Oryzias latipes: one gene and its partners. The protein of the gene in region 2 binds, or shares a complex with, the protein of the main gene of each other region. Links are inferred from orthologs where the notes say so. Each region holds a gene or a part of one and is shown on either strand. Other genes may lie near its edges. The genes, in order: sirt2, ran and ipo13.

What was found.
Region 1: the proteins of ran (region 2) and sirt2 are in contact, whole or in part, in a crystal structure (PDB 5FYQ), measured with the Homo sapiens proteins. The link is inferred for Oryzias latipes from reciprocal best matches to the Homo sapiens genes RAN and SIRT2. Residues at the interface, in NP_006316.1 of Homo sapiens: Phe35, Glu36, Lys37, Lys38, Tyr39, Val40; in NP_036369.2 of Homo sapiens: Phe96, Arg97, Glu116, Phe119, Gln167, Ile169, His187, Ile232, Val233, Phe234, Phe235, Gly236, Glu237, Ser238, Leu239, Phe244, Gln265, Val266, Gln267, Pro268.
Region 3: the proteins of ran (region 2) and ipo13 are in contact, whole or in part, in a crystal structure (PDB 3ZJY), measured with the Homo sapiens proteins. The link is inferred for Oryzias latipes from reciprocal best matches to the Homo sapiens genes RAN and IPO13. Residues at the interface, in NP_006316.1 of Homo sapiens: Lys37, Lys38, Tyr39, Leu43, Gly44, Val45, Val47, Pro49, Trp64, Gly74, Leu75, Arg76, Asp77, Gly78, Tyr79, Ile81, Gln82, Asn103, Arg106, Asp107, Arg110, Val111, Tyr147, Trp163, Arg166; in NP_055467.3 of Homo sapiens: Leu33, Tyr34, Tyr35, Ile39, Lys42, Gln46, Leu49, Met50, Gln53, Glu73, Tyr76, Phe77, Ser80, His83, Ile84, Ile118, Thr121, Arg122, Val125, Val172, Glu175, Glu176, Thr179, Ser414, Asp415, Arg784, Asp785, Pro787, Asp788, Pro829.

What each region holds. Positions count from the first base shown.
Region 1 is NC_019871.2:17,930,281-17,937,897, reverse strand, and holds the end of sirt2 (NAD-dependent protein deacetylase sirtuin-2), read left to right. Parts: intron 1-250; coding exon 251-299; intron 300-1,521; coding exon 1,522-1,632; intron 1,633-1,702; coding exon 1,703-1,744; intron 1,745-1,823; coding exon 1,824-1,930; intron 1,931-2,029; coding exon 2,030-2,086; intron 2,087-2,166; coding exon 2,167-2,235; intron 2,236-2,312; coding exon 2,313-2,442; intron 2,443-2,513; coding exon 2,514-2,573; intron 2,574-2,678; coding exon 2,679-2,734; intron 2,735-2,811; coding exon 2,812-2,888; intron 2,889-2,985; coding exon 2,986-3,037; intron 3,038-3,134; coding exon 3,135-3,202; intron 3,203-4,187; coding exon 4,188-4,254; intron 4,255-4,656; coding exon 4,657-4,785; 3' UTR 4,786-5,390; downstream 5,391-7,617. UniProt on the Homo sapiens protein: NAD-dependent protein deacetylase, which deacetylates internal lysines on histone and alpha-tubulin as well as many other proteins such as key transcription factors.
Region 2 is NC_019868.2:13,951,830-13,959,806, reverse strand, and holds ran (GTP-binding nuclear protein Ran), read left to right. Parts: upstream 1-3,296; 5' UTR 3,297-3,387; exon of another isoform or gene 3,388-3,477; intron 3,478-3,644; exon of another isoform or gene 3,645-4,031; intron 4,032-4,228; 5' UTR 4,229-4,241; coding exon 4,242-4,286; intron 4,287-4,365; coding exon 4,366-4,450; intron 4,451-4,824; coding exon 4,825-4,950; intron 4,951-5,033; coding exon 5,034-5,221; intron 5,222-5,322; coding exon 5,323-5,493; intron 5,494-5,638; coding exon 5,639-5,683; 3' UTR 5,684-6,028; downstream 6,029-7,977. UniProt on the Homo sapiens protein: GTPase involved in nucleocytoplasmic transport, participating both to the import and the export from the nucleus of proteins and RNAs. Switches between a cytoplasmic GDP- and a nuclear GTP-bound state by nucleotide exchange and GTP hydrolysis.
Region 3 is NC_019862.2:26,617,962-26,624,183, forward strand, and holds the end of ipo13 (importin-13), read left to right. Parts: intron 1-599; coding exon 600-781; intron 782-1,406; coding exon 1,407-1,506; 3' UTR 1,507-3,365; downstream 3,366-6,222. UniProt on the Homo sapiens protein: Functions in nuclear protein import as nuclear transport receptor. Serves as receptor for nuclear localization signals (NLS) in cargo substrates.

The DNA of each region.
Region 1 (7,617 bases), on a different chromosome or scaffold from region 2:
AAGAAACGCAGTCTTCAGCTGTGGGGAAGATTTGAGACTGAAGCAAGAAAGATATTTCTAAGACATTACAACAACCTTTAATATCAGAAATTCAACTGTAAATAATCAGAGATTCCTGCTCTAACCAGTAATGTATGTAAAAACATTTTGCATAGTCAGCACTTCTTGTACAGATCCTATCCACACAGAGCAGCAGACACGAGCATCAGCAGGTAGAACCCAAACCAAAACGTTCTTTCTGGTTCTGCAGGATCTGTCGGACGACAGCAGTGACGACGAGGCGGCAGCAGGAGCTGAGAGTACGTTCTCCTCTTTTCTGTTTCCTTTGTTCTTTTTCTATTCCTCATCCTGCAAACACCAGTCCAGCATTTATCGTTACTGCACGCGTCCAGGTGAGTGTTTATGGTGCCTCACCATGCTGTTATAGGATGTAGAGAAGAAAACAAAAGGAAAGGCCTGCTCTGGTCGCCCCCACACCAAGGCCCCCCCCCCTGGATGGCCAAGCAGGAGCCGTGTCATCCCCGGCTCATGGCATAGCCAGAGATGTCAGGGTTCCCCCCCTCCCTGAGTGAAGAGCCCAACACCCAAGAGACATAATCACCACTGCTGGATGGCTGCAGCCCCGTCATTCCCAGGCTGCCTCCGCTAGACCCCGCCCAGTCTTTGGCACCCATGGGCAGTTTACCAGGAGACAGGGGCCCTTGTAAAAGGGTGCCTGTCGCTGGGCCCCCCCTACACACAGAAAGACCAATCACTCCTGTGTGTTAGTCCTCTAAGAACATTACCGTATTTTCCGGACTACAAGTCGCCCTTTTTTTCATAGGTTGGGTGCGACTTATACTCCGCAGCGACTTATATTAGAAATAAATTGAAATAAATACATTGTTAACCCTCCTGTTATGTTCATTTGTGAGGAACAGAGATGATGTTCCTGGGTCAATTTGATGTATGAGGTATGTTAAGTGTTAAGAGGATGTTAAGTGACTCAGAGAATCAGCAAACTTTTTTTTACAATAAGACCTTGAAGGCTAACAACATAATATTCTATTTTCCAATGATTTCATAGATTCAGAAATGCAATAAAAATGACTACATTCTACAAATACAGGATTAAAACAGAGTATTAGTTGGCCAATGATGCTTCATGAAAAGAATAAATAAATAAGCATGAGAAAGAATTACTGTGAAATTATGAGATAAACAGTCTGCTATGATTGTGTCATATGAGTTTGTGCAAGTTATTAGTTCTTGGTCTCAGATTTTGTTAAATAAATTTCCCGTCAAAATGCGACTTATAGTCCAGTGCGACTTATCTGTGTTTTTTTCTACTTTATAATGCATTTTTGGGCTGGTGCGACTTATACTCCGGAGCGACTTATAGTCCGGAAAATACGGTAGTTCCGGTCTGTGTAGAACTGAATCCTCACTGTTTTGGTCTGCTGCGTTCAGGTGCAGGGATGCAGTTGTCTTCTCATTGGTGTGTTTTTTTGTGTGTGTGTGATTCTGCTCTGTTCCTTCCAGTGGACTTCCTGCGGAACCTCTTCTCCAGCACTTTGGGCCTCGGCTCTGCAGAGAAGGTTCTGGATGCTCTGACTCTGGAAGGAGTGGCTCAGTATATAAAGAGCGGCAAATGTGAGTGTTAATGGGTCTGCAGATGTAGGTTCGCTTTCACACACTCACAGGTTTTGTTTGGATCACGCAGGTAAAAACATCATCTGCATGGTTGGTGCAGGAATCTCCACATGTGAGTATTTAGGCTTTGTTTATTTTTGTTGACATGTTTTTGATGATGTAAACACTGTGTCCATGTTTTTCCTCTGAAGCTGCTGGAATTCCAGATTTCCGTTCTCCAGAAACCGGCCTGTATGCAAACCTGCAGAAATACAACCTGCCTTACCCAGAAGCCATCTTCCAGATAGATTACTTTAAGGTTTATGGAGGACCTCATGTTATATTAACACTGCCATAATGTAAATATATAATATATACAATGAAGAAAAACATCCATATTTGAACTGTTCTGTTTCAGAAACATCCAGAACCGTTCTTTACTTTGGCGAAGGAGCTCTACCCAGGACAGTTTAAGGTACAGCTCCAGCCTTCAGAGTGAGAGCCCCCTGGTTGTCACGTCTTTCACATAGTCTGCGCTCTTTTGTCCATCTCCAGCCAACCATCTGTCACTACTTCATAAAGTTGCTGAAGAACAAAGGCCTCCTGAGACGCTGCTACACTCAGGCAGGAAACCTGCAGCATCTTCTCCCTGAAGCTCTGTTGGGGTTCCTTTGCCTTATGGTTTGGGTTTCTCCATGCAGAACATCGACACTCTGGAGCGAGTTGCAGGTCTTGAAAAAGAAGATCTGATTGAAGCTCATGGGACCTTCTACACCTCCCACTGTGTCAGCTTCTGCTGCCGTAAAGAGTACAGCCTGGACTGGATGAAAGGTTTGGTCTTCACTCAAAGATCTGTTGGATTTAGACCTCTGGACTCTAAACTTTAGAACTTTGCTTTGCAGAGAAAATCTTCTCTGATGCCATTCCCAAATGTGAGAAGTGCAACAGTTTGGTGAAACCAGGTCAGGTCCTGATGTTTGATCCTGCTGTTTAAAATGGTTTTGGTCTATTGCCATCATTTTTTTTTTTTTTAATATTTTCGGCTAAAATTCCTTCACGTTGAACAGACATTGTTTTCTTTGGGGAGAATCTGCCGGCGCGTTTCTTCACATCAGTGAAGATGGTGAGATCATCACGTTGCTTTCAACTACTTTGAATTGAGATGCAAAGAAATGGCATTTTTGTGTCCACATTCTGTAGGATTTCCCTCGCTGTGACCTTCTGATTGTCATGGGGACGTCTCTGCAGGTGCAGCCGTTTGCAGGTTTAGTCGGCAGGTATGGCGTTCGTCCTGCAGGGTCACCTCCTCACAAAACTCACAGGAAGCTGTGGATCAGATTTAAAAAAAAAAAAACACTTTTCTTTGTTCTTTAGGGTTTCCAAGAGTTGCCCCCGGTTGCTTATTAACATGGAAAAGGCAGGGGAGGTAAGCGTTTTCAGCGCCCCCTGACACTCCTTACACCTGTCAGAGCCACGGCGGTGTGGGAGTGGCTTCATGGTGGCGTTCCTCTCTGCTTCTGCAGGCTGACCCCATGCTGGGGATGCTGGGATTTGGAGGAGGCATGGACTTTGACTCAGACAAGGCGTACAGGTGAAGAACTCATCCAGCGGATCCAAACGGATCTTTCCCTTACATCCCAAATGGGTCGCGTCTGAAGATGTTTGAAGGTTTTTCCTATAAAAAAAAAAAAAGGGGGATGATGGGATCTCTGTAAACTTAGTTTATGGATTTTATTTTTCAAAAATGACTGCAAGTAAACTCCCATCTTTACGTTTGAGCTTCCTGTCAGTAGTTTTTCCGCGTCTCTGGACTGTTCTCCAGTGACGGAGAACTTTGTAGGTTCACGTCACTGTTGATGTTGAACGCCCCACGAAACACCTAAAACATGGACAGATGTTTTTCCAAAAGCAGATTTCTTCGGACACTGATCAATTTGACAGTTAGTGATTTTGGGCTCCGGCCTTTAGGGAAATCTAGCGTTCTAGTGATGGTATGCCCCGCCTCCAGGTCAGCTGTTTTTTGTGCTGTGAGCCAGAAAACGTGACAACACAAAGTGAAACCTTGTCTCTGGACAAATTCAGTTTCTTTAAAGATGAACATTTCTAAATGTACAGCGGGGAGGTTTACTAAGAGGAAATTCATGTTGGTCCTTTTATTTGGAGCAAAGATGTTTTGAGGCTTCATCGTCCTTGTGGGGCTTCACATGTGTTCTTAAATAAAGAACTGTGTTAGAGAAATTCTGGATTTTCTTTTTCAGGAGATCCTGTTTAGATTCAGAGAAGATTTAGGACCTGAGATGATCAACTCCACTTCACTGAAAAACTCTGTGACGTTTTTCTTCTTTGTCTTAGTTTTATTTGTTCACATCTGACTTGTGTCCTGAGAACGGCATTTTCAACCAGGATGTTTTTTTTCTTTCTTCAAAATTCTTTCTTTCTTAAATTACATTTTTTTCTTTCTTCAAAATTCTTTCTTTCTTAAATTAAAAACGATAACTTTTTAATTTTTTAATTCTTTTTAATTGAAAGCGGAAAGCCCTGGGTTTTTACTGCTAACGGTCGGTCGCTCTCTGCAGGGATGTGGCTCACATCAGTTCCTGTGATGACGGCTGCCTGGCTCTGGCTGACCTGCTGGGCTGGAAGGTATCTCCTGCTCCTACTCAGATCCTCTCTGAACTTTTTTCCCCACAGAATCCAGAAAGCACCTTCCTGCTTAACCACTGAATCGACCCATTTGTTTTGGTTTTGTTTGTTTTTAATAAAGAAATACAAAAAAATGCCAAAATAGAACTGCTTTCAAGCGAAATAAATTCATAAATATATAAACCAGTATTTCTCTTATTCAGTGAAGTTTGATTGGATTCATTGATTTATATAATTTATAATAGTTTTTTTAAGGTTCATTGAAAAAAAAAAAACGGCAACAAAATGAACTTTTCACTGCTGCTAGTGTGTGTAACTTTCAGATGATGTTCTTGAATGAAGCTGCTTTCCTCTGAGCACGGCACATATAAGACTCCATCTTCTGCCGTCTGTCCTCCACAGGCCGAGCTGGAGGCTCTGGTGAAGCAGGAGCACGCTCAGATCGACAGTAAAGACAAGAAGGAGCAGCCTGGAGAAGCTGGAGGAGCGGCGGCCAAAGCCAGCTCGTCCTCTGTGAAGCCAGAGGAGTGACCTCACTTAAGCCGACGGCTGGTATCTAAGTTGGATCAAGACTTCAGGCTGATGTCAAAATTCTAATATCTTTTGCACTTTTGTGACTTTTCCACGCTTTCTGCTGTCGCTCATCATGTGACTGCAGCCCGCACAGTTATGCTTCCTGTTTGACTAAAACTGAAACCAGGTGAGATGGTCTGCAGCTCGTTTGACTCTGCAGTGAGACGAACATAAAAATCAAAAATTTGCTATTTATAGCATTTCAAAGTGAAACTGTTTACATCCCAAATGTTCTTTGCAGAAAAGTAACTCTGTTTTTCTTTAACTTAGTTTAGTGATTTTTAATCATATTTAATCTCTTTAACTTGAAGTGTTTCATCGTCTCTTAATTCTGATGCTTATTTCAAAAAGTCTTGGTTTGAAGAAATGCAGCAGGTTTTTATAATAAATGTAAAAATAAGACATCGGCAGAACAGAATTGAAATTGAACAGAAAAAAACTGTTGAAACCCAAGATCAGAAAAAACATAAGCTTCGATGAACTGAAATTATCAGCAACTGAAGCTGAGATCCAGGTTTGTGATCGACTAAAGCAAAACCTGCAATAAACTCAACCTTGGTTCAGTTTTCTTTGTCCTCTGTTTATCCAACACACCCATACATTGATTTGTAACAAACTTTATCTACCCTTTTTAACCTGTTTGGGCTCAAAAGAATTTTCTACATCATTTTTACTTTATGGGAAAATAGGTTTGGTTACTTCTGGGCTTTTAAAAACCTTCTAAAGACCAGGAAGTCCCTCCTTTGTTCAACTTATTGTTTCAAAGTTTGAGTCAAAACTTTCCAAGCAAAAATCACACCTACTTTAGTCATCTGAAGTGAATAAAGCAGAGTTCAGGGACCAGGAGCTATTGCATTGTGGGATTGGATGTTCTGAGTTCTCCCCCACAAATTGAGAAGATAAAGAGAAAACTTAATGATTTAAAGAAATCCAAATTTGGAAACTAAATCTATGCCAAATTGAAAAACAACAACACTGACCGCGTTTATACCAACCTGCAACAGATTGAAAAGTCACTTTTGGTTTTTCATGGATGGAAAAACTTCATCCATCCTTTCGTTTTAGTGAGAAGACCGAAGCTGAATTCGGATGATCAGCTCTAGATCTCCTATTCTCACACTCCAATAAATCACGAAAACATGAAACATTCTCAAACTAAATAACTACTCTTCATCTCTGACAATGGCACCAGCACAGTTTCTGCTTTCATTCATCTGACTCCAGAGGAACTCTGAAGGAGACACCAATGAACCTTAAATTTAAAGTAATCTAATGGAGCATAAGCATCAGAAATATCAGCTGCCTGGTTTGATTCATGTTCTGACTGAGAACATTTCAGCGCCAGGGATCTCCGGTAAAGATAAACTCACCGAATTAATGTCTAAGACGGACGAGTTAAATTAAAGTATTTGACGTATGCACCTCTCTGCAGCTCCAGGGCTGTTATTGAAGGAACCTCCTATGTAGTTCTTACGTAGGAGGCTCAAACTGCGGTAAAGAAGAACCCAGAGATTCTTCAGAATGTCAGTGTTAAAGCGGTTCTGGAAGTTAAGGTTCTGAGCTAAACGTTGGTTAAAGCGCATTAACATGAATACTAAATCAAAAGAGAGACTTATTTTTCTGTTTAAAGTTTGTTGTTAAAATCACAGCCTCTAGTTCTCCAAGCCTTTCTACATGAATGTTGTCCGTTGGTGGAGGAGACAGCAGAACATTGTTGGGGATGACCGATTCAAAGGCACCTGGAACTTCAATGAAGAGCTGATGGGGGGTGGGGGTGGGTGGGGTGAAGGCACGATGATGCTCAGACATGCTGGTTCAGCAGATGAAACACGCCTAACCTCAGACGTGGACATCCTAACCAGATCTGTGATGACAGGAAGGAGAAGATCTGCTCTGATAAAGCTTATTCTGGACTGTTGCATCCTCCGGTCCTCCATGTCTGCAGCCTCTTTTTACAGGAAACACCTCCTGTCTCAGAGATGGTTTGAGGAGCTCTCTTATAAATGAAGTGTCGGTTTGTATTTTCCTTAAGCTTTCCTCCAACTTTTGCAGCTCGCTGCTAGTCCTGAGGTCGGACCGGACGTCCATGAGGGCCTCTTGGGTTATGACGTCTTCCTTGAATCTTGTTGCCACAGAGATGGACAGGGTGCGGTTAACACTCTGAACACGAGGAGGAAATGGAACCTGAAGGTTTGCAAGACAGTTTTCCACCAAACTGTGTTTTTTTAAAGAGTATCTACAACCGTCCCTAAAAACTACATGAACTTCAGAGAAAATCTCGGGTTCTGATGCTTGCACTGAGTAGAAAGCAGTTCTATTAGAGCGTGAAGTCAATGTGCAGCGTCGGTGAGCACAGCAAGTGCAGAACTGGGTTAACCACACACACATGGAGGGGGGCGGGGGGGGGTTGCATGATGGGGGTTGTAGAGTTTCAGAGCTCATTAAAGACCTGCGTGTGATGCAGACAAACGAAGGCAAAAGGTGTCGGCAGGACATTACAAACCTGCAGCTTAGCTCCCAGTCTTTCACATCTCGATGATGATTCCAGAAAAGAATGATGCTGCTTCAGGTCTGATGCCGTTCTGAGCTTTGAAGCTTCTGTTGACGCCACAAAGAAAAGAAAAGTTCAAGAGAGAAGAGTGCAGGATGACAACTGACTGCTAACCGTGCAGGAAGAGGAAACATGTAAGTAGTAACTAATTATATCCAATCTTTACTGTCAGATGGTTGAATCACATTAAGCCGCGACCAAAAAAAATACATAAAAACTAAGAGTACAGAAAAATTCTT
Region 2 (7,977 bases):
TGCTGCCCGTTTTTATAGCTCAGTGGGAAATTTGTGTACAAACATGCACTTTAAAACTATTGGTTTTTGGTATAGACTTTAAAAAAGGAATCTGTACTATCTTGTCTGAATTATCCCAAAACATTTACCTATCACAATAGTGAAAAAAGGCTGAGTGCCAAATGAAGTCTAAATCAGGTCAAGCAGTGAAAAACCTCGATAAACAGGAGTCATCTAAATAAACATATTTAGGAATACGTTAATAAATCTTTAAGAGACATGTGTGCTGTTCTAAAATGTTTTAAAATGAGTGTAGAGGCCATAAATATCTAGGTATATTTTAGGCTAGTTTTTAGCAGTTTAACTAACTATCCTTTCTTACTTATTTACAATGAGGATCAAAGATAAATCAATAAAAATCTATAAATTTTTGTTTGCCTGTTAATCTATAATTCTGTAGTGTTAATGAAGTGCTGTTATGTTGCGAGGGCTACTTTTTCCGATTATCCTGTGTTTCCTGAATGCACCATGACGTTGAAGTTCTCTCACGGATTTGGAACCCCAGATTAACGACTTTGTTCAAATTGTGTTCCCCCGTCTGCAGGTTTCTGTGGTTTAACACTAAGTTTTGTAAGTTCGTATGTGTGTTTTGGTCTGGTCTGTATCCCCGCAGATGTCTGCCTCACTGAGTCTGCGTTTTCTGCGTTGCTGCTCTGAGCAAGGTACCGAACCGCATGCATTAAACATCATCACAGTGAGTGATTCAGTTCCATTCCTCTGGCTCTCTCTCTCTCTGCAGGTATTTTTGGATTTGGCCCCGGTGTCATCATGCGAACTTTAAGTGTTAGCGTGCAGAGAGGCGGTTATAGTACGTGTTGCCAAAAAACAACAACAACAACAACAAAAAAGAACTGCAGATTATTGGTGTTTTCTGAATAATGACCAAGTCTAATAAATCCTTAAAAAGCACTCTGTAATTTCCTCTCTAATCTTCTTGCAGAGTATGTCAATGCCCAAGAGCTGCCAACTGATCTGAGATCTATAACTGACCGTGCTGCCACAACCCTGCTTTGGACTGAACTCTTTAGAGGTAACACTCCTTTTTGATTTTAGCAAAGATGGAGCGTTTTGTAAAAGCTAGACAATTCAGATTCCCAGTAAACATGTTTTACAAACTGGCATTATGCAAAACAAAACAAACCTATTCATACATTAACAGATGCACATACTGTTTGCACCTCAGCATACCTAATGCATTTTGGTTTTCTACTGATCTTAATTATTTCAACTTTAATGAGCAGAAAGTGTTTAAGAAAACTGAAGGATTGGGTTGATGTTATTGATAAGTCTCCCGTTTCCATTTCTCATACTGTAATTATTAGTACACAGTGTCTGGCTGATGTTCTGTTTGATTCCTTTGTCCACTTTTTCCTCACAGGTTTGGGGATGACTATGAGCTACCTGTTCCGGGAGCCTGCGACCATCAACTATCCATTCGAGAAGGGCCCTCTGTCGCCACGGTTCCGTGGCGAGCACGCCCTTCGCCGATATCCTAATGGAGAAGAGCGTTGCATTGCCTGTAAACTGTGTGAAGCCATCTGCCCTGCTCAGGTGAGCGCAAATTAACAGTGTTTTACATTTTTATTGTAAATAAAATGATGCACATGTCAACAAATGAGAAATAGACATATGGCAGACAGGAAGATAAATGACAAGAATAAAAGCATCGTCTTTCAAAATGCAAGGATGTAATAAGTAAAAATAAACCTAAAAAAAAAACTAAAAGGAACTGGTCTGCATTTATCGAATGCTTTTGAATTTGTGTTTTACTTGTATTTTAATTCAGTGTGATACATTCTGTCTTGTGTAGTTCTTCTATTCTATTCTGTCCTGTTCTATTCTATCCTATTCTATTCTATTGTTCAAATGAATGACATGCTACATAAGAAAAGCTTTTTTTTGGCAGGTTATACAAATAAATAGTGCAGGTAACTGTCTAATGAGCATTTGGAGCAAGCAACAGCGAAAGCTCTGGCCCCCCAGAGCTTACACTTTGACCTTGGTTCATCCCAGAGCAGCTGATCAGCTGATCTGACTGAAGTGGAAGTTAAGGAAAGGAAATAAAATATCTACAAATACTACAAAATTTACAGGCTGGTGGTGGAGAAATGCCAAAGTTGATGTTAAGTAATATTTTCAGGTCTTTCAATTTTGCTTATGACATACTATATTTTTCTGTAGCATTTTTTTTAACGTTTGACTAACACTCAGTATGCACACGACATGCTGGGCTCTTACAGCCCTTTATCCTTTGAAGTAAAGATTTCTTATACCAAGAACTGCTTGTCTGGTCTGATCTTTTGTTTCCTCATGTCTAAGGCCATTACTATTGAGGCTGAGACTCGAGCTGATGGCAGCAGGAGAACTACTCGCTATGACATTGACATGACAAAGTGAATCTACTGTGGTTTCTGCCAGGAAGCTTGTCCTGTTGATGCTTTTGTTGAGGTAGGAAAAAGTATTGTATTTTTTATCGCGATTTTCTTTTGTTTGGCGATCAGAGTGGTTTTTCACGTTTGAATGTCTGGTATTTCTTTTTACATTTGTCCTTTTCTCTTTAAATTTCTCTAAGGGTCCAAACTTTGAGTTTTCCACAGAAAGCCACGAGGAACTACTGTACAACAAAGAGAAGCTGCTCAACAATGGGGACCGATGGGAATCAGAGATAGCAGCCAACATACAAGCAGACTACTTGTACAGATAAACCTTTTGCATCTGCAGTCTTTACTAGGCTTTACTGCATTAAAAGCATTTACTTTACTATTATATGAGCCACAAAGCCTTTAGGTCTGCTGCTTTCCTGTCAGAATTTAAAATCGTAAAAACGCACAAATTATATTATATATTGTACAGATGAGTAGTGTTAAACTTATAAGTGTTAAATTTGCACATTTTTATACAAAATGAGGCTAATACAAAGTCTGGAAACACTTTGATCTGACTGTGTAGTTTGAAAAATGTGAAATACTCTTATTTAGGACTAGTTATGACACTAAAATAAAGCACATTGGAAAATGTTGTGCTCATTTGTTTGTTGCATTGCATCATTGTCTTAAAATAAAAATATAAGGACGCATTCATGAGAATATAAAGAACTAATAGCAGACTTTTATATATTTAATATTTATATATTATATTATTGCTATATTTATACATTACATTATATACATATATAAATATACTAAACTATATATTTTTTAAACTGTATTTAGAACCCAAACTCAAAAAGGTAATTCTTTTCAAACCGTTTAGTGAGTCACGTGACCAGGGCGGAAACTGACTCATAGTCCACGCTGAATCTCCCGCGAACGCGGCCATTTAGTCTTTCCTCTCGCTGCAGTTACACCGGTGAGTCTGTGATCACTTGCTGCCGCAGGCCATTCCATATTTTCAACTTTGTACCCGTTTAAAGGGTTTAATAGAGAAAAATACGTTGAGGTAGGATTAGGATTCACGCGTTTGTGTAGGCCATGTGATGTGTGTACTCAGAGAAACCAATCAAGCTATTCGTGTTTCTTTTTTGTATTTCTGTGTGCCAACTGCTAGCTAAGCTAAGCTAGCAGTTGGCCCCGTTGAAAAGAATACCCACGGTGCTAAGCTAACGCTCGCGTTTGCTAGCAGTTATTAAGGGGACTTCTGTGTGCTTTTTCATAATCGTCTGATTGTATCCTTATATTAGATTTTAAAAATACCGTAAATGACTTGCACGTGAAAAACGTGCTTAGGTCGGATTCGAACCGGTTTACAGAGGGGAACACGTTTGTGGCGTATCGAGACCAATTGTTCTAGCCGAACAAGAAAAAGTGCGCTCTCGCGTCATATGGCGCACTACGTTAGTGCTTGTTAGCATTCGAGCTAGTTGGTAACCATCGATTTTAACGTTGTGCCTTAGGGCAGGTTTGTTTTTATTTAATGATGCCGTATTCTTTTGACCCGTTTTCGTTAATTATGTTTTCGACTAAAAAGAGGAACGCATTGCTACACACTTGCTGGTGTGTATAGAACATGCTAGAAGTTATAGGCGGGTAACGGCCCGGTTCTTCTTAAACTTACAGACCGTAAATTCCACAAATAATTACGGTTGTAGCTCTTCGTTTAGTCATATTTAATTTCCTCTAATGTGACCAATGCTAACCCGAGCAGACCGCTAGCATGCTAACAAATTCATCCCGCCTTTCTTTTTACTTAGAAAAGTCGCAGCCATGGCTGATTCAATGGGGCAGTCTGTACCAGTTGCAGTTTTCAAGGTAAGTTATGTCATAGCAATTGATATGTTTATTTGTTGCCCAGTGTTCGTAAATGCTAAATGCAGTGTCTCCTCAACAGTTGGTGCTGGTTGGAGATGGAGGCACAGGAAAAACGACTTTTGTGAAGAGACACATTACAGGAGAGTTTGAGAAGAAGTATGTAGGTGAGTATATTCCACTGTAATTACAGATAAACAATATTTTCATCTTTTTAGATATTGCTGTACAAACCGAAACAGTTGGAAGTTCCCAATACTATTTTTGAGTTAGAATGTGCTGGAACATCATTCAAATCTTTGATTGTATATAATAGCCAATATTTTACTTGGGGTGTCGCGTTTAGTGACACGGAGGTTTAAAAATAGTCAAAAAGCTCAAAGTTTGCATTTGAAAGTATTAATGTAAATATTTTCTGTTTAGCAATATGTGGTATTGCAGATAAACCCATGAGCCACGCTTAAAAGCAATATGGTTTTGTCTTGATTTTAAAATATTTTGTGCTTTCGATGACACCTCTACGCGTCTTCTTCTATTACAGCTACTCTCGGAGTCGAAGTGCACCCACTGATGTTCCACACCAACAGAGGACCCATCAAGTACAATGTCTGGGACACAGCTGGTCAGGAGAAATTTGGGGGCCTGAGAGATGGCTACTATATTCAAGGTGCTCCTTTTATTTTCAGAGAGGTTGTCTTGTGCGTGTGACCTCTGAATATTAAAGTTGATACTTATCTGTCCCATCAACAGCTCAGTGTGCTATCATCATGTTTGATGTCACATCTCGGGTCACCTACAAAAACGTACCCAACTGGCACCGTGACTTGGTCCGTGTCTGTGAGAACATTCCCATTGTCCTTTGCGGCAACAAGGTAGACATCAAAGACAGAAAAGTCAAAGCCAAGAGCATCGTGTTTCACCGCAAGAAGAACTTGCAGGTAAAATTGCTTCTTTTCTTTTTTTTTTTAATTATTCAGTGTCTCTGTGTTGAATTTACACAAACTCATTTGTATTTGTCTTATTTAATTTCTTTTTCCAGTACTATGACATTTCTGCCAAGAGTAACTACAACTTTGAGAAGCCCTTCCTGTGGTTAGCAAGGAAGTTGATCGGTGATCCAAATCTGGAGTTTGTGGCAATGCCTGCCCTTGCTCCCCCAGAGGTCCTTATGGACCCCAACCTTGCCGCTAAATACGAGGAAGAACTTCAGGTGAGTAGTACACGGTTTTTCTTTCATATTGCACATTAATCATCATGTGCATTCATTAAAAAAACAATAAATGTCACAAAGGAACGATATACACGCTCTGCTTCTGTTTTCCTGTTGGGTGCTTAAACATTATTTTGTTTTCCAGGTTGCATCACAGACAGCACTCCCAGATGAAGAAGATGACCTCTAACCTGGGAACCGCTTTCCTTAACCCTTTCCTTTTACCCTTCTCTCTCTGACTGTGGACAGGAAGTTGTTTTGCCCCTTTACTGTAAAATCCCTTTTCAGATTTTTTTATTTTTGAATTTTTTTGTTTTAAAACTTACAAAGAAAAAAAAACTTTGTGCAAAAGTTGTCGTTCTAATTTCATTGTAGGACAAGCCCATCCCAGATTTGTTGTTGGCATGGCAACGTGCTACTTTTCATCAAGCACTCTCCACTGCATCTACCCAACTCACATAATGCTGTTGTACGGTGTACTGGGAGCACTAAGGGGAATAAACTTTGAATAAAAATATTGTCATTAAAACATTGACTTGACTTTGTTTTTGCTTAATATCTTTGTTTCCTAAATAGTACATGTAAATGTGAAATAATCTCAATGATAGTTGTTTATAAAAAACTTTCAACCTTAATTGCTCTTCAATCCTATTTTCCTTTAAAAGTATTAAGGCTTTTAGGCATTCTTTGGTTAAGGAATTTAAAGATGTATAACTGGCGGCTCAAATAGTGAAAACTTGTTTTATTAGCTTGTCTATTGCCTATAGCAGCCTGTGACCCTGAGAAGGGTTCATCAAGTTCTGAAGATGATGGATTGATGACTCTGACATTGGCACTAAAAGTTCCATTTCTAAAAGAACTAAAGCAATATTTTGTGACTAAAACGATGAAAGGACTGAGCTGATCTTTCCAGTTAAACATTTAATTGCTGCAAAAGTATGTGCACACCACAGAGTGAAGACTGCTTCCTGGAACTCGTGCTCTTGAGCTATTAACATTTTGAGCACTAGGTGGCAATTGTGTTCATGTATTTGCAGAGGCCTAAACTTGCCTGAGGTGTTGCATAAAGTGCAGATGGGTGTAGCTATTGTTCCTCTGACAACAGTGACATGTTTTATCATACACTAGATTACCAAAAGTATTGGCTCACCCAACCAAAGGATCAGACTAAGGTGTCCTAATCACTTGGTCTGGCCACAGATGTATAAAATCAAGCATGCATGCTTGCAGACTGTTTTCAAGAACATTTGTGAAAGAATGGACCGCTCTCAGGAGCTCAGTGAACTCCTGTCACAGGATTCCGCCTCTGCAACAAATCCAGTGGTGACATTTTCTCGCTCCTAAATATTCCCCAGTCAACTGTCAGCTCTATCAGGACAACATGGAAGAGTTAGGGAACAACAGCAACTCAGCCACCAAGTGGTAGGCCATGTAAACTGACAGAGAGGTCCATGGATGCTGAAGCACATAGTGGAAAGCGGTCACTAACTCTCTGCACAATCGATTGCTACAAAGCTCTAAACTTCATGTAACTTTCAGCTTAGCCCAAATACAGTACTCGGAGAACTTCATGAAATGGGTTTCCATGGCCAAGCAGCTGCATGCAAGCCACACAATGCAAAGTGTTGGATGCAGTGGTGTGAAACAGGCCGCCACTGGACTCTGGAGCAGTGGAGACGCCTTCTCTGGAGTAATGAATCACTCTTTTGCATGGCACACATTCCCAGGAGAACTGTACATTTCAGACTGCATTGTGCAAAGTGAGAAATTTGGTGGAGGAGCAATCATGGTGTGGGGTTGTTTTTCAGGACTTGGGCGTGGCCCCTTAGTTCCAGTGATAAGAACTCTGAGTGCTTCAGGACACCAAAACATTTTTGGACAATTTCGTGCTCCCAATCTTGTGGGAACAGTTTGGAGCAGGCCCTACCTCTTCCAACATGACTGTTCACCAGTGCACAAACCAAGGTGCACTGGATGACAGTTCTGCACAGAGTCAGAGTGCCTACACTGGCCTACACAGAGTCCTGACCTGAACCCAATAAAACACCTTCAGGATGAATCAGAGCGGAGACTGAGAGCCAGGCCTTCTTGACCAATATCAGTGTGTGACCACACTGTCGCTTATATTATTATATTCATCTTCTGCCGTTTTGTGGGCGAAGGTAGGGGACACCCTGCATGATGCCAGTCTGTCGCAGGGCTGCAATCACAACCATTCCAATCACACTCACACCTAGGGACAATTTAGAGTTGCCAATTGACCTATGAAGCATGTTTTTGGAGGAAGCTGGAGACCCTGGAGAGAATGCATGCACGGGGAGAACATGCAAACTCCCCACAGTAAGATTGGGACTTGAACTGTGGGGACCTTCATGCTGGGAGGTGAGAGCGCTGTCCACTGCGCCGCTGTGCAGCCCTACATAACATAATATTATTATATTAAACAAAAAAGGAAAGGTTAACTGTTAATGCCCATACTTTATC
Region 3 (6,222 bases), on a different chromosome or scaffold from region 2:
CTCTAGGACAGTTTTTTTAGTGCGACAGAAGTTCATTAGAAATTCACCTCTGAGTCGTAGGCGAGACTGTTGACATGGAGTAAGTCTTTCTCATTTCCCATCATCCCTTTGTCCACACGTTCTCCTGCTGGCTTACAGCCCCTCACAGCACCAGGCTAACATTACTGGTGCAACAAAAATTGCGCGCAATAGTGGAGCTGTGCAGTTTTGAGCCAGAGACGATAAAAACAAAGACCTACATTGAGCAAATTGTCTACAAGTGGATCATCAGAATGGAGCAGTGCGGGGAGCTTGTGGCCTGCTGTAGTAGACTCACTACAGCAGGTGGTTGTGGTAGTAAACACCACAACCACCAAGCATTTTTTCTTACAACATTTTTTCATCTGTTCCAGATTTACAACAATTTAAATAAAAAAATACTCAGAAATGCAAATTTAAGCGTAATTTCTTTATATATGACCTACATCATCAGAAAGATGCCACAAGAACATGTTAAAAACACCAAAAACCCATTTTTCATTGGAGTGGGCCTCTAAGCTGATCCTAATTTGACCTCATAGCGGTGCATCCTCTTTGAACTTTCTCTCTCACCTCTCTAGGGAATTGGAGGCGGAGCTTCTCGGAGTCTCATGGACCAGTTTGCAGAAGTGCTGTTTAGCCTGAACAAGCACTGCTTCTCCCTGCTGGCTGTGTGGCTGAAAGAAGTGCTGCAGCCTCCTGGATTCCCATCATCACGCATCACCACTGAGCAGAAAGTCAACTTCTCCCAGCAGATACTCAGGTAGCTCAGCAGAATCCTTGCTCACTTGCTTCAGTACCAATGGCTGTGTCCAAATTCGAGGGGCTGCATCCTTCGACGGCCGAAGCCTTTGCGGGCGACGTTAACCCGGTCCTTCGTCGAGCGGGTTGACCGGCTGTGAAATTGGACGAGTCTAGGCGTTCGATAATTCCAGCCGTTACATCGGCGAATGTCATGTCGCCTAGTCCTCTGTGAGTCCCAAACACAGAGGACTAGTAAACCAGGCGTGGAGCTCAAAATGTTCCTGGCTTATTTGATCCAACTTTAAATCTTGGAGGTGTAATTCTAAAAATGTTTAATTATCTCCAACTCCGGGTTCCGCTTCACAGTCCACCATTATTGTCAGAAAATCTCCAGGTTTGACCGCAATGCATCTTCTATATGGACAGCACAGAGGGATACACCAGACCAATCCTTAAAATCGAAGAAAATCAAGGCTGTATTCGTTGAATTTGGACAGCACTTGTCGCGCCGCGGTGACGTAAGCAGCTTTCAAATGCAGCCCAGGAGGAAAGCAGCTCTCAAATTTGGACACAGCCAACTTCTCAGGCTTGTGGCAGCAGGTTCATGGGTGTAGTGGTAACGGTTTGCTTTCCTCTACCTCAAGCAGAGAACGGGTGAACAAGAGAAGGGTGAAGGACATAGTGAAGGAGTTCACACTACTGTGCAGAGGTCTCCACGGTACAGAGTACGCCGCCGATTACTGAAACTCACTCCTGGAAACTCTCACCTGCGACCTCTGATCTCAGCGCAAAGCAAGTGGAGGCCACAGCCAAACAATTCGATCCCCATGATCCACCATGAAATGATTGTAACGATGATCCACCCAGCCGCTGGACCAAGTATGGAACCATTCCAGCACAGACCTGCCATTAGAACAACAGACGCTCAACCCCAGGTTGCTCCAGAGCAGCCACCTTCTCTCCTGCAATTGTTTTCCCGTGATAAGAGCTACCCCCTCTTTTCCATCTTGGAAGAGGTTTTGCTGGAAGAGCTTTGAGCAGCATGTACCTTACAGCCCCCCCCCCCCTTTACACCCGACTCTTTCTGCCTGTCTAGATCTTCCTGTGGTTCCTAGGTTGTTTCCTGGTGTTTAGCATCCATTTGAAATGGTAGTAATATTGTACGTAGATACTTTACATTAATTTCAATGGTAAACAAAGTACATTATATAAACGTATATGTATGCACATATAGAAAGACAGTGGTTCTTAGTCCTGCTGCTGCTAAAAAGGGGGGGGGGGGGTGAAGGAACAATGGTTAGGGGAGGAGTCCGCTGTTTAAAATGAGTCAAATACTGTTAATTCCCATTTATGGCCATGTGATCTCAGCATTTGCCAAAATATATGTTTTTTTTGGTGAACTTTTAGGTATTTTTTAAAAGAGGACCCTTTGGTGTAAGAATCAAAGAAGATGACAACGTTTGGACTAATCCAAGTACAAACCGAACTCTTTGTGTAAGGAACTGTAGATCCCCGTTTTCAAACTGCAGTCTCCTTGCGTCGGAGACGCTCCCTAAGGCGAAGCAGGGACTGCCTGGAGCGACGCCTGAGGGGAAACGGAGCAATCCCAGTAATTGACAGCGAGAGGAGAAAGAGCTGAGCTTCTGGACGGATCGGTTCACTTGGCAGTGGACCGCTTAGTCACTGTAATTGTGCAAAAATATTAATCAACTTGTGCATATTAACAGTTATTGCTGAACACTTTGAGTATATGAGTGTATGAATGCTTGTATGTGTGAGAGCAAATGTGGCTCTTTTTTTTTTTTTTTTTTCCACTTCTTCAGTGCACTTATAATGGACCTACCAGAACCAATGCATCTTCTTCCTCTCTTCTTTTGTTGAAGCATCTTGTTCATTTCTTCGCCGCAAACTGAGTCGGCACATTCAGCCGCAGCGATCCACAGCGTCGTGTCGGTAAAATCTTTGACCTCCAGGCTTTCTGTTATTGATGGCACTGATAACAAAATCCCTGTGATGAGCCACCCAGATTTCCCTTCGCCCATTTCAGTCACTGTCTTTGAGAAGAGCAAGAGTTGAGGGAGAACCTTCCCAGAGCCCACGTTCCCCACCCTTCAGTTCTCATTCATTTCACCTGAGACTGTAATATACACTGTTTAGTGAATCAGCAGAAACGGCTGACGACGTGTAACACTCAGCGCCTACGTTACTTTACAGCTCCAGAGATCACTGTTCTCAGCTTAACCCTTCTGTCTTATCCAAGGTGCCTGCAGACATGTAGCATGTAAGTGTTAGTGGTGGGTGGGGCTAAAGGGACAAATGAACTCAGAGTGGACAGAGGTACCAAAAGACTCCACGCAAAACGCAACACCTGAGGCAGGAGTCCAGTCTGAAGTGAGCCGTTCGGCTCCATTCTGAATCTATGAATGTCCTGATGTTCACCACTGATCCTCAAATCTGTTCTGTGGTTCTAGCTTGCAACGAGAAACTGACCAGTGTTTGTCTAAGATAAATGGAAGAACTGTGTGGGAGGAACAAAATGTACAATTTTTTGTTTTTGTTTTTTGTACCTTGACTTTAATTTATTAAATATATCCAAGACTGTATCAGATTTTTCGTTGATTTAGTTTAGATTACATATTTATGTTTTAAAAAGACAAAATAATTGCAAGGATCTAGGGAAAAATTATTCAGAGATCTGCATGAAACAACACACTTCACCAATAAAAATAAGATGAATTTGTTTAAGTGCAGGGGGACTAACTAAATAGTTTAAACTTTAGTTACAGATATTGACCGTCTGAATTACATCTTACCCACTATGGGGCCATCATCACTTAGCAAAAGTTAGTACACTTAATTTTATTTTTTAAATAAATGTGAATATAGCAAGTTTACTATAGACCAGGTGTCTGCGACTTTATGATTTGGAGCCACATGAGGCTCCTTTATCCATTTTGGCTCTTTGGCTTTAAACAAATGTTTGAATTAAAAAATAGATTTGTAGTTTTGGTTGATTTGTCTTAGTTAATTAAGTTTAACTTAAGTTAATTGTTTTTAGATGTTTAACATGTTAAATTACTGAGCAAAATCATTGTGAAAGGGTTTATTCTTCTGTCCCAGTGGTTTATTATTAGAATAAGTACATTTTATAATTCCTGCTGCACAACAGTGTCTTATCGCCACTTAGAGGCAAATCTCTTGAAATATAATTATATTTACATGTATGGAGTGTACATAGTGAGTGTTTATGTTCTAAAATGGATGATGGAATGTAAAAGACCCCGACCGCAGCGCCAGCCAGAACCCCCCCCAACACCCGCACAGCAGCAGATAGAGAACAAGCGCCCTCAGAGCGATCACATCCGCCACCCAGGCCAGGGCCAGCAGGGGACCCAAAGCCAAAGAGCAGGGGAGGCATGTGGGGGGCCAGAGAGTGCATGCTCCAGCCCAACCAGGAGAGCAGCCCCCTCCGCGCTGGGAGGGCCCAACGCGGGACCACACCCCAGAAGACCGCCCACAGCCCCAGACGAGCACCTCATCACCACCCAGGAGTTCTGGGCATCCCCCCACCCCAACCCCGGGTACGAACCAGGACCCCCCCAAGGGAGACCCGCCCCGCGCTCCAGGCAGCCACCCACCCGGCCCACGGTTGGTCAAGGAGTGAGCAAGGCAGGGACCAGCCATCCCTGCCCAGGAGGAGGACACCCAGTGGAAGAGGGGGTCTTGAAGAAGTGTTGTCCCTGCCCCTGAGGCCCAGTGCTCATGGGCAAGGACCAGAACCCACACCACAGGGACACGGACACCCCCGGCTCAGATGTGATCCCCGGCTCTTGGTCTTGCCAGAGAACTCATCCCCCGCCCCATCGCCCTAATAAAAGATTATATGAGGTAAGGGGTAAGTCGGGGAAAGCTGGTAGACTGTCCCCCGGTGGTCAAACAGCCCCCCCCCCTGGCATAGGACTCAGGTCTCCTCAGCCCAGGGGTCCCATCCCCCGAAGCGCCGACCCCCCAGGCCCCACACTACCCACCCCACACAGAGAGAGAGGAGCCTGAAAGCGCCGCCGCTCCCGGAGAAGGCACCGGCCCCCGCCCCCAGGCACCACCCCTGGGAGAGCTCTGTTCAGGCCTCAGCCCCGACCTGTCAACCCCCCCCCCCCAGGACAGGGCCAACAAGCTGGGGCTGCTTTGCTGCATCTGACACAGGGTGTCTTGAAGTTGTACAAGGTAAAATGAAATCTCCAGATTATCAAGGCATTCTGGATAGAAATGTGCTGCCTAGTGTCAGAAAGCTTGGTCTCATTCGCAGGTCATGGATCTTCCAACAGGACAACGATCCAAAACACACAGCCAAACACCCCCCCCACGAATGGCTAAGAGAAAAGTGTTGGACTATTCTGAAGTGGCCTTCTATGAGCCCAGATCTGAATCCCATTGAACAATTGTGGAAGGAGCTGAAACATGCCATTTGGAGAAGACACCCGTCAAACCTGAGAAATCTGGAGCAGTTTGCTCATGAGGAGGGGGCCAAAATACCTGTCGACAGGTGCAGAAGGCTCATTAACAAAATATTATATACTATATTTTGTTTTTTTGAGAAAAGAATATAAACCCAGACGTTAGAATGGCAGAAAATGTCCTATTTTACTTTGTTGTCTTTTACTTTTCTTTTTACATTTACTGTTGTCAAAAAGTTAATATTGTTAAATATATATTAGAAGATTTCACTGTTTCAATTCAGTCATTGAAATATTTAAGAACTACATCTTAAAAATGAATAGCTTAGTAACCCAAAAACCTAAATAAAGTGTATATTCGTACACAGTGAATTTTGCAGCTCCGGGTAGGTTTTGCTCAGGAAAAAATCAGATCAACTGGCTCTTTAAGGTCCACTCTGATCATCTTTGATCTATTGTAAAAGCGTTCCTAGTGGTCTTTTAATTACGACTTTTGGCGAAAATCTAAAAAATCGGTGTAATTTTTTAGGACTTAGTTTCTGCAGAGTGGCAGTAGTTTATTAGGAATTCACCTCTGACCTGTGGGCGGGTGTGAAAGTACGCTGCTGGTTATTTCCCATCATGCCTTTGTTTAAACTCACTCCCGCTATCAACGGTGCAACAAAATGGCGAGGAATATCAGAGATATCCAGCCAGACATTTTAGAGTCAGATTCCATCTCATACAAAAAACAAAACAAAGATATACATGAATTTATTTTTTGTAAGTGGATGCATCAGAATAGAGAGGAGCAGGGAGGTTGTGACTTGCCGTAGAAACCTCCATGTCAGACCTACAAGCTTTGTCTAATGGCATTTTTTCATCTACTTCTGATTCACAACGATTTGAATAAAGACTTTCTCATAAGAAACGTTCAGGTTTTGCACAGCACAACCTGCACATTAGCATAAGAGGTTTACGTTTTAAGTAGGTATTTATTTATTTGTATATTTTAGTTAGTTGGTAA